Cricetulus griseus: one gene and its partners. The protein of the gene in region 1 interacts with the protein of each later gene in a pairwise test. Links are inferred from orthologs where the notes say so. Each region holds a gene or a part of one and is shown on either strand. Other genes may lie near its edges. The genes, in order: Kifap3, Ncf2 and Naa10.

Evidence for each region.
Region 2: the proteins of Kifap3 (region 1) and Ncf2 interact in binary tests that used the Homo sapiens proteins (3 or more experiments, as listed by UniProt). The two-hybrid records come from large-scale screens. The link is inferred for Cricetulus griseus from reciprocal best matches to the Homo sapiens genes KIFAP3 and NCF2.
Region 3: the proteins of Kifap3 (region 1) and Naa10 interact in binary tests that used the Homo sapiens proteins (3 or more experiments, as listed by UniProt). The two-hybrid records come from large-scale screens. The link is inferred for Cricetulus griseus from reciprocal best matches to the Homo sapiens genes KIFAP3 and NAA10.

Annotation. Positions count from the first base shown.
Region 1 is NC_048598.1:28,529,392-28,533,462, reverse strand, and holds the start of Kifap3 (kinesin-associated protein 3), read left to right. Parts: upstream 1-1,167; 5' UTR 1,168-1,391; coding exon of another isoform or gene 1,392-1,423; intron 1,424-1,783; 5' UTR 1,784-2,104; coding exon 2,105-2,136; intron 2,137-4,071. UniProt on the Homo sapiens protein: Involved in tethering the chromosomes to the spindle pole and in chromosome movement. Binds to the tail domain of the KIF3A/KIF3B heterodimer to form a heterotrimeric KIF3 complex and may regulate the membrane binding of this complex.
Region 2 is NC_048598.1:38,810,951-38,814,595, reverse strand, and holds part of Ncf2 (neutrophil cytosol factor 2), read left to right. Parts: intron 1-675; coding exon 676-817; intron 818-1,029; coding exon 1,030-1,098; intron 1,099-1,994; coding exon 1,995-2,070; intron 2,071-3,618; coding exon 3,619-3,644; intron 3,645-3,645. UniProt on the Homo sapiens protein: Subunit of the phagocyte NADPH oxidase complex that mediates the transfer of electrons from cytosolic NADPH to O2 to produce the superoxide anion (O2(-)).
Region 3 is NC_048604.1:1,827,827-1,832,199, reverse strand, and holds the start of Naa10 (N-alpha-acetyltransferase 10), read right to left. Parts: upstream 2,941-4,373; coding exon 2,920-2,940; intron 2,509-2,919; coding exon 2,410-2,508; intron 2,023-2,409; coding exon 1,964-2,022; intron 1,086-1,963; coding exon 1,040-1,085; intron 959-1,039; coding exon 843-958; intron 630-842; coding exon 585-629; intron 1-584. UniProt on the Homo sapiens protein: Catalytic subunit of N-terminal acetyltransferase complexes which display alpha (N-terminal) acetyltransferase activity. Acetylates amino termini that are devoid of initiator methionine.

The DNA of each region.
Region 1 (4,071 bases):
CCACTGCTTTAAAATACTGTGCCCTGCTTTTGTTACGGTTAAAGATGCTGTGAATGACAATTTGTACATGTTTGCACTGAAGAGTCAATATTTGAGAAAACACAGAAAATAGGAAGTCGAGTTAGGAGGGACTCCATAGGTGAAATGCTTAGACTAACGGACTGAGTGTGAGTGTGAATGGAGAAGAAAAAGTGAATAGCAGGACTGTCTTGTGAATTTTGTGACACTTCAATAAGGAAACTTGATAAACAGAAAGGACTTAAAGTTTGCTCCAAATTTCTTCCTTGATATTGAAAGAATAATTATAGCTTTAACAGAAATAGTATAGCTGGTGTGAATGGGTGGGGCCATAAATCATTAATGTCTCTCTACAGTGTTCATGCCATATAGTGTATGCCAGCATGACATTTCACGACTACAGGTCAATCAATATTATATAACTCATTTGAAGAAGGGGTGGCTGCTAATGTGGGACTAGAAGATAGTAATTGAGGGGACAGATTAAAGGGGAGGCTATTCTAAAGCAGAGCAGGTGGCTTGTCACCCTCAAAAATCAGCTCTTTTCCCTGAAAGTTGTCAGCAATGACCTGCCTTAGAGGAAACAATTACTCATGAATTTTGAGTTACGGTTAATTAACGGACAGTTTCGAAGTTCAGAAGTTGGCTTGTTTTGATGGATGGTACTATCTTCTACATGTATGATTTAAAATGTGACTTTCAAAGTTGTGTCTAATTCTATCCATTCCATAAATACAGACTATTTTTGCCAGCCAGAACTCAGTGCAACCAATGCAGAACCTTTCACATGTTCCAAAACGGAAGCCCCGCCATAGACGTTGCTAGTTAAAGGCTAACTTGATGTCTATCATTAGTTAGCAAAAAAAAAAAAAAAAAAAAAAAAAGTTAGCTGGTTACTTTCGCCTTATTTCACACTAAAGACTTTAAATTCCAATTTTGCAGATTGCAATGCCTTTTCCTTTCCCCTCCTCCAGGGGGCAGTGACGAGGACTATCACTCTTAACCACAGGCTCCCAGATAAGCACCAAACACTTCCCGCCCGGTTCCTGAAAGCGTCAGATTAGTCGCAGGAGCCAGGGTCTCGAACTGAGCCTGCGCGTACTGCAGCTGCCGCGTGAGCGCATGCGCCTTGCGGAGAGCCTGGCCCTGGCGGCTCTGGGCGGGTCTGGGCTGCGCCAGGGTTTTGGGGCCCAGGAGCTGTGGGAGGAGCCGGCGGCCTCACCGTGGTAACCGCAGCGCCGCCGCCGCCCCGCCTCGCAGGCTTCGGGACTGTCACCGCCGGGGCTGCGAGGGTACTTTGTCCCGGTCCCCGGAAGTAGCCGGCCCAGACTCTCAGACACCCCCATCCTCCCCACGCCGCCACCGCCGCCGCCATGCAAGGCGAGGACGCCAGATACCTCAAAAGGTGACCACCCGGGCCCCGCCCTGAGCAGGTCCTTAGGTGTTTCCCCGCCGAAGGGGCTGTCACTGGGCAAAGCCTGAGGAGAGAAGGGCTGGGATGCAGGGCAGGAAAGAAAGAGGGGGGAAGTGATGGGGTGGAATAAAGGACGGGCCCTGTGGGGGCGCGAGGTCCTTAATCCACCTTAGTTTGGCGGGGCCCTGACAGCATCAGATGGCTTCCTCGCTACATTAATTGTATCCGCAGTGAGAGGCAGGTTGGGCGAGGTAAAACCCATATTTCGTTTTTGGTTTTGCGGGTTTGTTTGTTTGTTTGTTTGTTTGTTTGTTTGTTTCTCCTGCCCCACTCTTCTGTTTTCCTCAATAGATAAATCCCATGGGAGCTTGGAAGTGAATTCTGTCACATCACCAATTTGTGTTCGGTTTGAGAGCCATAAATCATGCGTGTTTTGAAATACAGACTTCATGCAAGACTGGATTGAGATGTCCAGCCAGCTGTCCTTGGTCCATTTCACCCATTTGACTGTCACCTTCACAATATAATTTATGTAGAAAGTGCATTACTAGCAAGACCTTGGCATGAAAGAGCTTACCATTTTCTATCTTAAGTATGTGTGATATCAGCTACTCCAAAGAAAAATGGAAATTTGTTGAGATTCCTTAACTTCTGCCAAAGATATGGGCATCCATGGTTAAAATACACCTCTCGATGGACCAAGGGTGAGCAAGCAGTGAACAAATTAAAAAAAAATGCTAATTTGGAATCTCTTATTTTTAGTCAAAGCTTTGTTGCTGATTCATTACAAAAAGCACAGTTTTTTTGGGGGGGGAAACATAATTCATCTGAAAATGAGAGACGTTACTTTCTGGGAGACATAAGGACAGAATATGAAAATACTTTTGAAAGAGAAAACATGCATATTATTAGGTGGTGGCATTAGTTTAGGTCCTAAAATGCTTTTGATGAGTTTATTTTTCCCCATGCTTGGTGGGATTCTAGATGTCACAGAAACATCTTACAAGTGTTAGTGAACTCTTAAACATAGTCAAACAATTACAAATCACCTATAGTGCCTCTGAAAGACGGGAACATAGTCCTTCGTCTTTTTCAATTAATGTGTTCATGGAAAATGGCAAATGAAAAGACCTTTAGTAGAGATTTGTGAAAGGAATATGTAATCGTAACTCAGTGAGTCAGTACTCCTTTGCCCACGTAATTTTGCTAACAGCATGCACAATGCACATTTACCCACAAACCTCCACACATAAACACACTCAAAAATTTTGTCAAATCCATTAAATTTTCTAATTTCAACTGTAAACCTGAGGTTATTTTAAAGAAAGTACCATTTGCTGATTGTCCTATGATACGGTTGTGTCAAGCGTGGTTTTTCTCAAGGTTGTTGCACTAATGTGGACCCCCTTTTAAAACCACATCATTTAGAAAACAATAAATGCAACTGATTTAGTCACCGTAATGTTTCAGTTAGAGTCAGAATCTGGAAAAAAGGTTGAAAGTACATTGTTTAATCTAATTTTGACAAAATAAACTTTGCATTACCTCCAGATTATGTATATGCACACACACATGTATATGAGAGAGATGATTATTATATATACAGTATACAGACCTAATGGAAAAGGCAGGGACTTGATGGATATAAGTATGATGTTTGTTCAGATTTTTCACATTGTTTGATTATGTTCCACTTATACTGTGCATTAACACTTTATTCCTTTTTGGAACTGAATAATGTTTCATTGCATGGGTATATTGTAATCTGATTATTCATGACCCAAGTGTAGGTAGATATTTAGGTGGTTTTTGCCTGTTGCCTATTGGGAATAAAGTTGCTATCATAACAAGATTCTGTTTGGACACTTCTCTTCTTTATTTGGTATATAATAAGCTTGGGATTTCAGGAACATGGAGTAATTCTATGTTGGACTCATTGAAGTCTCATCAAATAGCTTTCCCTTGGTGTCTGTACCTCTATGAACATTGCAGTTTTTCCACACTTCACTAATGCCTGTTATCTTCTCTTTTTGTATTATTTTGTATGTGTGTTCTGTAACTGTAGCTATTCTAGGGGGTGTAAAGTGGTGTCTTACTTTGATTTTGATTTGCATTTCCCTAATTACTAAGTAGGTTGAGCTCCTTTCATCTGCTCCTTGGTCATTTGTCTTTCTCTTTTAGGAAAAAGTTGTTTCTGAAATATACTCTTAATACCAGGCCTTATTAAATATGCAGTTTACAAACATTTGTCTTTTTACTGTTGCCTTTTTACTGTGTTGAATATGTCAGTAGTGTCAACAATTTTAATTTGTTGAAGTCTAATCTATTAATAGTTACCGTTACCTTTGAAATTCAAGGCCAGGAAGTTTTCCCTTATGTTTTATAGTTTTAGCTCTTAAATATTTATTTTTATTCACTTGAATTACTTATTGTATATGGTGCTTAAGAATATCTAATCTTAGCATCATTTGTCAAAGAGATCTTCTTTCTCTCCATTGATATTTGGAGCATCCTTATTAAAATTAGACTGTAAAAGTGGGTGTTTATTTCTTCACTGTCAGTCCTCACCAAAAGATCTATTAATATGTGTATCTCCTTGTGCTAGTAACTTATTCTTTAAATTGGGGGAGTTTTTCCAT
Region 2 (3,645 bases), about 10 Mb from region 1:
ATTTGTTTATGACAAAGCTGTAAGGCTGTCTTTTATGTTAAAACATGAAAGTTGACTTAATAGGAAAAAGGGTAGGGTATGGAGGCTCACATTTCTAATCCCTGCCTTTGAGAGGCAGAGGCAGGATTGCTGAAAGCTCGGGCCAGCCTGAGTTACAGAGTGATATCCCATCTCAAAAAACAAAGACAATATAGAGAGGATGAGTGATGGGGGTGGGGTGTTCTACACAACGTGTTCTGTTGACTAAGTGTTACGGGAAAGGAATTTGTGCTAATTCTGCCGGCAACCAGGGATTATAAAAGTTACAGCCACGTGGGTGGTGTGCTCAGTTCATAAGTGAAAGCTGTGCCATGTGTATACCTAGGTGTAGAAGCGTGGGGCATACAAGGGTTGGGTACCATATATGGGTTCACCCATCTCTTGGATTCTTGTGTAGTGTTTCCTGAGGACAAGGGGAACTCCTGTGTGCTTATGGAACGACTCACCTGCGGTTTCTCACCTCATCCTTTCAGGATCCCATGCAGGCCAGCACCCTGCTCTTGTCTCATAGACAGTAAGATGTGGAGTTAGAGTGAGTGCCAAGCTAAGTCTCTGGCCTCCGTTGCTTCTCCTGCAGTAAGGGGATGTGTGTGGTCCAAGCTGAATGATGGGCTGGGTCTTCTGTGTACCCTTCAGGGCTTTGGAAGGCGAGGCACATCGAGTGCTGTTTGGCTTTGTGCCTGAGACACCAGAAGAGCTACAGGTCATGCCAGGGAACATCGTTTTTGTCTTGAAGAAGGGCAGTGATAACTGGGCCACAGTCATGTTCAATGGACAGGTATTTGGAAGGTCATGGGGAGGTGCTAAGGGCATAGGGTCCCAGCAGCAAAGGGCAGAGCTCTTCCATGGGACGGTGGTATCTGCTGCATTATTTGCAGACCTGGGCCATCATCTGAGTGCTGTCCCTACGCATGGCTGTAGACTGTTCTGTGTTTTGGGTACTAATGAGTCTTTGTTTTCCTTTCTGTGTCCTGGGATGCCACACTGCAGAAGGGGCTTGTCCCTTGCAACTACCTGGAGCCAGTTGAGCTTCGGATCCATCCTCAGTCGCAGCCCCAGGTAATGTAGGCCTAGCCCCGCCCCCCCCCACCCCTCACATAGCCCTCCAGGGAGAAGAATATGTGAAAAGGGGCAGTCTTCCTGTCATGGAAGAAAGACTCAACTAGCTCTGGGCCACTTGAGCTGATATCAGATGCCTAGGCCTGACAAGAAAAGATCAGCTATGCCAAGTGGAGGCAACTGTTAGGAATCCACTGGACTCGCCCCACCCTGTGAGTCCTTCTGGTCAGGAAGACTTGGAAAGCGAAGCCTGACCATTAGAGCTAGATGTTCCCAGGCAAGTCTTTTCACCAGGGAGAGTCATCAATGTGTCTGTTACTACAATGCCATTTAAAACAAAGTAAGGGCTGGGGATGTAGTTCAGTTGGCAGAGTGCGTGCGTAGCGTGCATGAAGCCCTGGCTCAATCCCCAGCACTGAATAATTCAGGCACGATGGCATGTGCTCCTAACACTTGGAAAGAGGAGGCAGGAGGATCAGAAGCTTGTCATCCTTAGCTACATGGCCCTCTGAGGACAGCACGTGGTCTGTCTCTTTATAGTGTGTAATGAGATGCACATGTGTGGAACCCTCCCTGGTCAGTCATGAAACTGAGGCACTTCAAAGTTTCAAATGCCCTGCAGATGGGAAGTGAAATTTTCCCTTTCTCTGTACACTCTGCAGTGGGCACAGAAGCACAGCATGCCACCCCACTTTGGTGGGTTTTCAAAATGGCTGATGAGATGGCGTGAAGGGCCTTGTGGGCATTAAGATTCTTACTGCTGCCACGAATTAGCCCCCTTTCCTTAGTCATCTCTCTGTGTCATATCACCCTAACTTTTTTAGTCATTTGCATCCAGTTTCTTTCCAGGGAAGCCCTCATGCTTTTGTCTGACTGTCTCCTCTTGTCACCTCCAGGAGGACACCTCCCTGGAATCTGATATTCCACCTCCTCCTAGTACCAGTGCCCCAGCAAGATCCCAGTTGTCACCAGGTTGGTGGCCCAGGAGCAGAAGCTCTCTGGGATGCTTCATGATGAAGAGCTGCTTTCCTAGCCATCTAGGAAATTCTGGTTTCTTTACCCAGCATGCCTCTTGGCTGATGACTACATTTCCTCAGAGCCCTGTCTTGCCTGCACCATCATGCCACTGGATGGTGATGGCAATGCCCCTCCCCCACCTGCTTAGAAATGAGTGCAGATGAAGGGACAGTTAAGTGCCTGTCATGAGAGCAGTCACCAAATGACCTAAACTAGGTCCAAGAAGAAAGGCAGCAGTAACTGCATTTTCTCACCCCAGCCTTCTTCAAACCACTGAGGTGTATGTGCTCTCCAGACTATAGGGCTTGAAGAAGGGACCACTCACTGGAAGGTGTGGATGGGAGATCTTTCCAGAAGGATCTCTCTTAAGCTGGGTAGCACTGTCTTGGAAAGCAATGACTTTTTGTTACTGGTGAGTTTAAGCAGATTCTGATGGAGATGACAGAGGTCTCTTTCCATGACTACCTGATTATTGGAGCTGCTTTTATGCCCCTCCCCTGCATATTTATTTGAAAAATTGCAGACCTTCAGAAAAGTTGGAAGTAGGATACAAAAAATACTACAACACTTTTCACTTAAATACACCAGTTATGGGCCAGCAAGGTGGCTCTGTAGTTAAAGGCACTTGCTACATAAACCTGGTGATGACTGCAGTTACCAGAACCTACTTAAAGCAGGAAGTGGAGAATCAACTCCCCAAAGAAATTGTCCTCTGGCTTCTACACACGCCAGGGCACTTGCCCTCCCATCATGCACACATGCTAAAAGAAAAATTTTAAATGTAAACAACATATCAGTACCTCTTTGCCCCTGTGAGCCACTTAAATATAAGTTACAGACCTATGATACAATCTACCTGGGTATAACTCCCCTACGAACAGGCACAGCTTCTGCCTAAGGAATGCATTCTCATCTAGGACACCGCCCGCCTATTCCACGTGTAAATACTTCAGTGGCCCTGTATAGTGTTCATCAAAGCATTTTTGTTCTTACCTTCCCTATCTGGAGGTTCACAAAAGGATACAATGCTGAAGAGATTGAACTACCGGATTCCTAGACCTTTGGTTGATGTTAGCAAAATGTCCCAAGTGATTCTAATCTACTGGGAATGAATTTGTGATTAATGGTTCTTACATCTTGGGTGGTAAATAGTTCCTATTACCCACACACTGCTGAGTTAACATATTATGCATTTTAAAACCACAAACATACTCAACACTACAGGACCATGAAATGGTAAGGTTCTGCTGTTTATGTCTGGGGCTCCGGCTCATGTCACATGACCTCGCTCTGCCTTGGGGCCTACTCGTTTAACCGGCCTTTAGGCCAGTCCTCTGATAGTTAGCAATGCTTCCGAGAAGCAGAGACTGGCTTCGCTCCCATGCTTGTGGTCTCTGAGATTCTTCAGAGTGAGATTTTTAGATGTTAAAGGGTAGGACGCTGGGCATTGTGGGCGGCAGGTGCCACCATGAGTATTCATTTGTTATTTCCTTTCCCATTTAGGTCACAAGCAAAAAGAAGAGCCCAAGG
Region 3 (4,373 bases), on another chromosome or scaffold:
CGAGACAGGGTTTCTCTGTGTAGTTTAGGAGCGTGTCCTGGCACTCACTCTGTAGACCAAGCTGGCTTTGAACTCACAGAGATCCTCCTGCCTCTGCCTCCCGAGTGCTGGGATTAAAGGCGTGCGCCACCAACGCCCAGCTGCCTTGTGTGTTCTTTACTATAATTCCTTTCACCAGCCTCACTAGCACTTAGTAACAAACCATACTTCCTCTATCCAGCAAGATGTGCAGGACACCTCCTCTACCACACACACAGAAACCAGGTGCCTTCTCCATGTTAGCTTGTCAGTGAACAGCCACTGAGTATACAGAAGGACCCCTAGCAATGACTGAAGTTCCTCCACCCCTTTCTTAGCTCACCTTAGCTAAAAGGATGGATCACGCCACTTAAAAAATCTGGATCTGCCAGGAGGTAGTGGCACATGCCTTTAATCCCAGCACTTGGGAGGTAGGCAGATCTTTGTGAGTTCAAGGCCAGCCAGGTCTACAGAGTGAATTACAGGATAGCCAGGACAGTTACACAAAGAAACCCTGTCTCTAAAAACAAAACAACAACAACAACAAAAAATCTTGATCTACTTACTGAAAGTTGAGGGTGTTGGAATAGAGATGCAGGGCAGCCCGGTTACTGCAGGGGAATAAGGCACTACTGAGCTTCAGAAACTTGACCAGGCATGTTGGCAGGCTATATCCAGGCCCTGCCTTTCTTCCCAGTCTTCCTTTCCCACTAATGCTACTTACCATCTTCTTCTGAAGGCAGTAAACCCCAGAACCCCTATCAATGGGGTACCTCTTCCTCCCCACTCCCCAGCATTGTCCTTTCCCCAAGCTTGTCTTTCACCTCTTTCTGACATGTAGGGAGACATATTTGGCATTGAAATTCTCTATCATGGCTCGAGAGGCCTGATCCATCAGCTTCTGAGCCAGCCCAAGGCGCCGGTGGGAACGCTTCACAGCCTGAGAGAAGGATGGGTACTAGTGGGACCTTGGAGGCTACCTCCAGTCCACCTCTGCCAAACCCTCAGTAGCTCTACTCACCAGTGAGGTGATATGTCCATGGGGCACGTCATCTGGGTCCTCTTCCCTAGAGGAGAAAGCTAGAAAGGAGCCTGGTACAGGTCCAGTATGTACCGGACACCTGTACACATCAAGTGCACAGACATCGTGATGGACCCTACAGCACCCCAGATCCAGGCAGAGGAGAACTAGGAACTTCTGAATCAGAATAACCAATCATGCCCTCCTCAAAGCCCCCATGCTACACCCAGTAGATATGTGCAGTGTCAACAGAATATTAGCCTGTGATTGACAACAACAAAAGTCAGCTGCCAAGACACAAAAAGTGTAGCAGTGTATTGCTGAATGCAAAGCATTGAATGAAAGGAGGCAGCTTGAAAGAGCTATAAGTTCCTAGTTCAACTCTGCAGCCTTCTTAAAAGGTGACCAACCTTGTTGTTGGAGGTTGTGGGAAGGATGGAATACTCTAAAGGTGGATAGACACTCTTCATTTGCCCAACTCAGAGGGTGTGTGACACACAGAAGCCCAACAATGAAAACATCAATCTAAACAAAATCTGTGTTGGTTTCTCACTTCTAATAAGTGTACCATACATGGTAGTGAGAGAACAAATGTGGAGGAGGGGGTGTGTGGAAATACTCAGTACTTTCTGCTCAATCTTTCTGTCAATTTAGAAACACCCTACCAACAAGCTGTTAATTAAAAAACAATTCACAGCAAGCTGGGCATAGTTAATCCCAGCATTCAGGAGGCTCAGCATGAAGACTGATGCAAGTTTGAGCCCAATCTGGCAAAAGAGTGAGAACCCCTCTAAAACTAATCCACAGCATGTTCACCAGATGTGGATGGTGTTGGCTTCCCATTCCCTTGTCCAAAGCTTTTCCCTCAGCTCCTCAACCCCCAGTCTTAGAATTAGGCTCTTTTCTTCCTCCTTGGTGACTCACATTTTGGCCAAGACGTACCCCACAATCTTCCCATTCTCATCCTCAGCAATGTAAGAGAGCTGGTAACAGAGAGGAAAAGGATGTCAGGCAGAGCAGGCAACAGGCTAGAGCTCACTGCCAGCCTCCTGCTGTGTGTAGGATAGTGGGAAGCAGCAAAAATTGTCCAGTTGTGACAGCTGGTGGCCTGGAATGCAAGGGTCCCAGATTCCCTACTCCACAGTTGTGCCCTCTCTTGGAAAAGCACAGACACAGGTGGGAATCCCATTTCCCACCTGTGTCTAGCTTACAATCCCTTGCACTGTTTCCTTTGCCAGGCTTCCCCATCAGCCATGGCTTCGCTGTACCAAGGCACTGTATATCTCACTGCCCAGTGCTTTTGGCCCACTCAGATCCATGATTCCCTTCTGTTGTCCCTTACACCCTTACAAAACGCAAAACCTGCCCACCTGGGGCCAAGAGAGGCCATGATAGAAATAGTACTTCATCTGGTAGTTCTCGGGCAGGCAGAGGAGGTTGCAGTGCTGCATGTTCATCAGGTCCTCGGGCTGCATGACAGCGGGACACGGTTAGTCCAGGACTGCAGTGACTAAGAAGGGCCTCACGAATGCGGGGCCCCTGTTCTCTGTTAATCTCTGGGCCTCCCCTTCCCCGGGCAGGTCAGGGTTGTGACTATATGACTTTGCACAAGCCTGGTTTCCATGAGCCATGCAAAACGCGCCAACTCAAGGACCGAGCAGTACCGCCTGGAGGTCGCGAGCCCACTCGATGGAGCCCTGACATTAGGCAAACGCGGGATAGTATAATCGCGAAATGTCCAGGGCAGGTTGCAACAGCCTTAAGGTCCAGCGGCCGCAGACGTGGAGGACCACAGCACCAGGTCCCTCGTTAGCATGTGCACGCGGTCACCCGGCAAGGCGCCCATGGGTTGTGGACAGGCTAGCTCCCCATCACCTCACCCTAGCATTGCGGATATTCATCACGGCGGCGGAGCTCGCAGGTCCTCGTGGGTTATGAACGTGCACGCTCAGCGGCCACTCAGAAGAACCGCACGGACTATAGGGGCTGGGGCCAGGCTCCCAGAGGAAGGTAACGGAAGAGGCGGGCCGGCCCGCCCCACCTGCAGCGGAAGTGTGTGGTACGGGATCCGCTTCCGAACCGCACAGCCAGTGAGCGCACCGAGAGTTAATGGGAGCGGTGGATCAGTGCAAAAATGGCGCCTTCAAGGCCGTTATGAAGGCTGGGTAACGCGGGCATCGTGGGGAGTAGCTGTACCCTCCCGCCCGGCCCACAGAGGTGCGCACACAAGCAGATGGAGCAGGGTTAGATTTATTTTGAGCCTCTGTGGGTGGGGACAGTGAGCGACGACATGACGGGAGCAGGCCGGAGGCGGCAGAGCAGGGCTTCCAGAATCTACTCGCACATGGCCAGGCACTGCGGCACGTGGAAGCAGCTTGTGAGGGGAATGGATGCTGGGGTTAGGAGGTCCTAGGGAGCCAGGTGCCACAAACCTTTGCAGTCTCGTCCCGTTCCTTGCTCACCTTTAAAAGGACCTCTCTTGATGGTGAGGGTCACCTTTCCCTCTCGGTTCAGATAGCCGAACCATTCCCCGAACTCAGGATCACGAAACTAGAATAAGGAGACAATGACAGCTAGTGTCTGGCAGGACACACCAGAGTGTCACGGGCTGAGGAAGGGGCCCTCGCTGTCCCCTTTGTACTACCACCACTGGTCAGAGTTCAAATGCCATGATTTCATTACTTTTTTTTTTTTAGCTCAAGTCAGTAAAACTTTATTTTGATAGTGGTTTTCATTACTTTTAAGAGACCATGTCCTGGGAAAAGATGAAAGCTGAGGATGATAGGCAGTTGGTTTTCTCAGCTTGTAACCCAATGGGAAGATGCTGCAGGCAATGTGCTGAAACGCTGAGAGAACAGGTGCTCTATGTTTGATTGTAGTGTGTTATCTAACACTTTGAATTGAATACTTAAAAACACACGTTTACCTAATCTATATTAAAAGGCAAAAAGAACAAAGAATCCTGGATTGACTTGCCAACAAACTTTGTAACATGTCCTCTACTCCACAGGCCTTATCAAACAGAGACACGTAACTCATGCCCTTGCATGTTGTGGTTTTTATAACAGGGTGTCAGACTTTCCTCTAACCCTGTGTGATGGGGAAAGCTTTTAGTCCCAGCCCTCAGGACGTAGAGGCTGACACATTTCTGTAAGTTTCAGGACAACATCGTCTTCTGCCTATTTTCACCATGGGTTCTGAATGTATCTCTCTCACTTCTGACCCTGTCCAGTGGATCTGATGCTTCAAATAAGGGGGAACAGCAGCTGAGCTGGTTAGATAGGCTAACCCATCCCATACCTGTCTCACTGAGGCTTTTTTTTTTTTTTTAGTT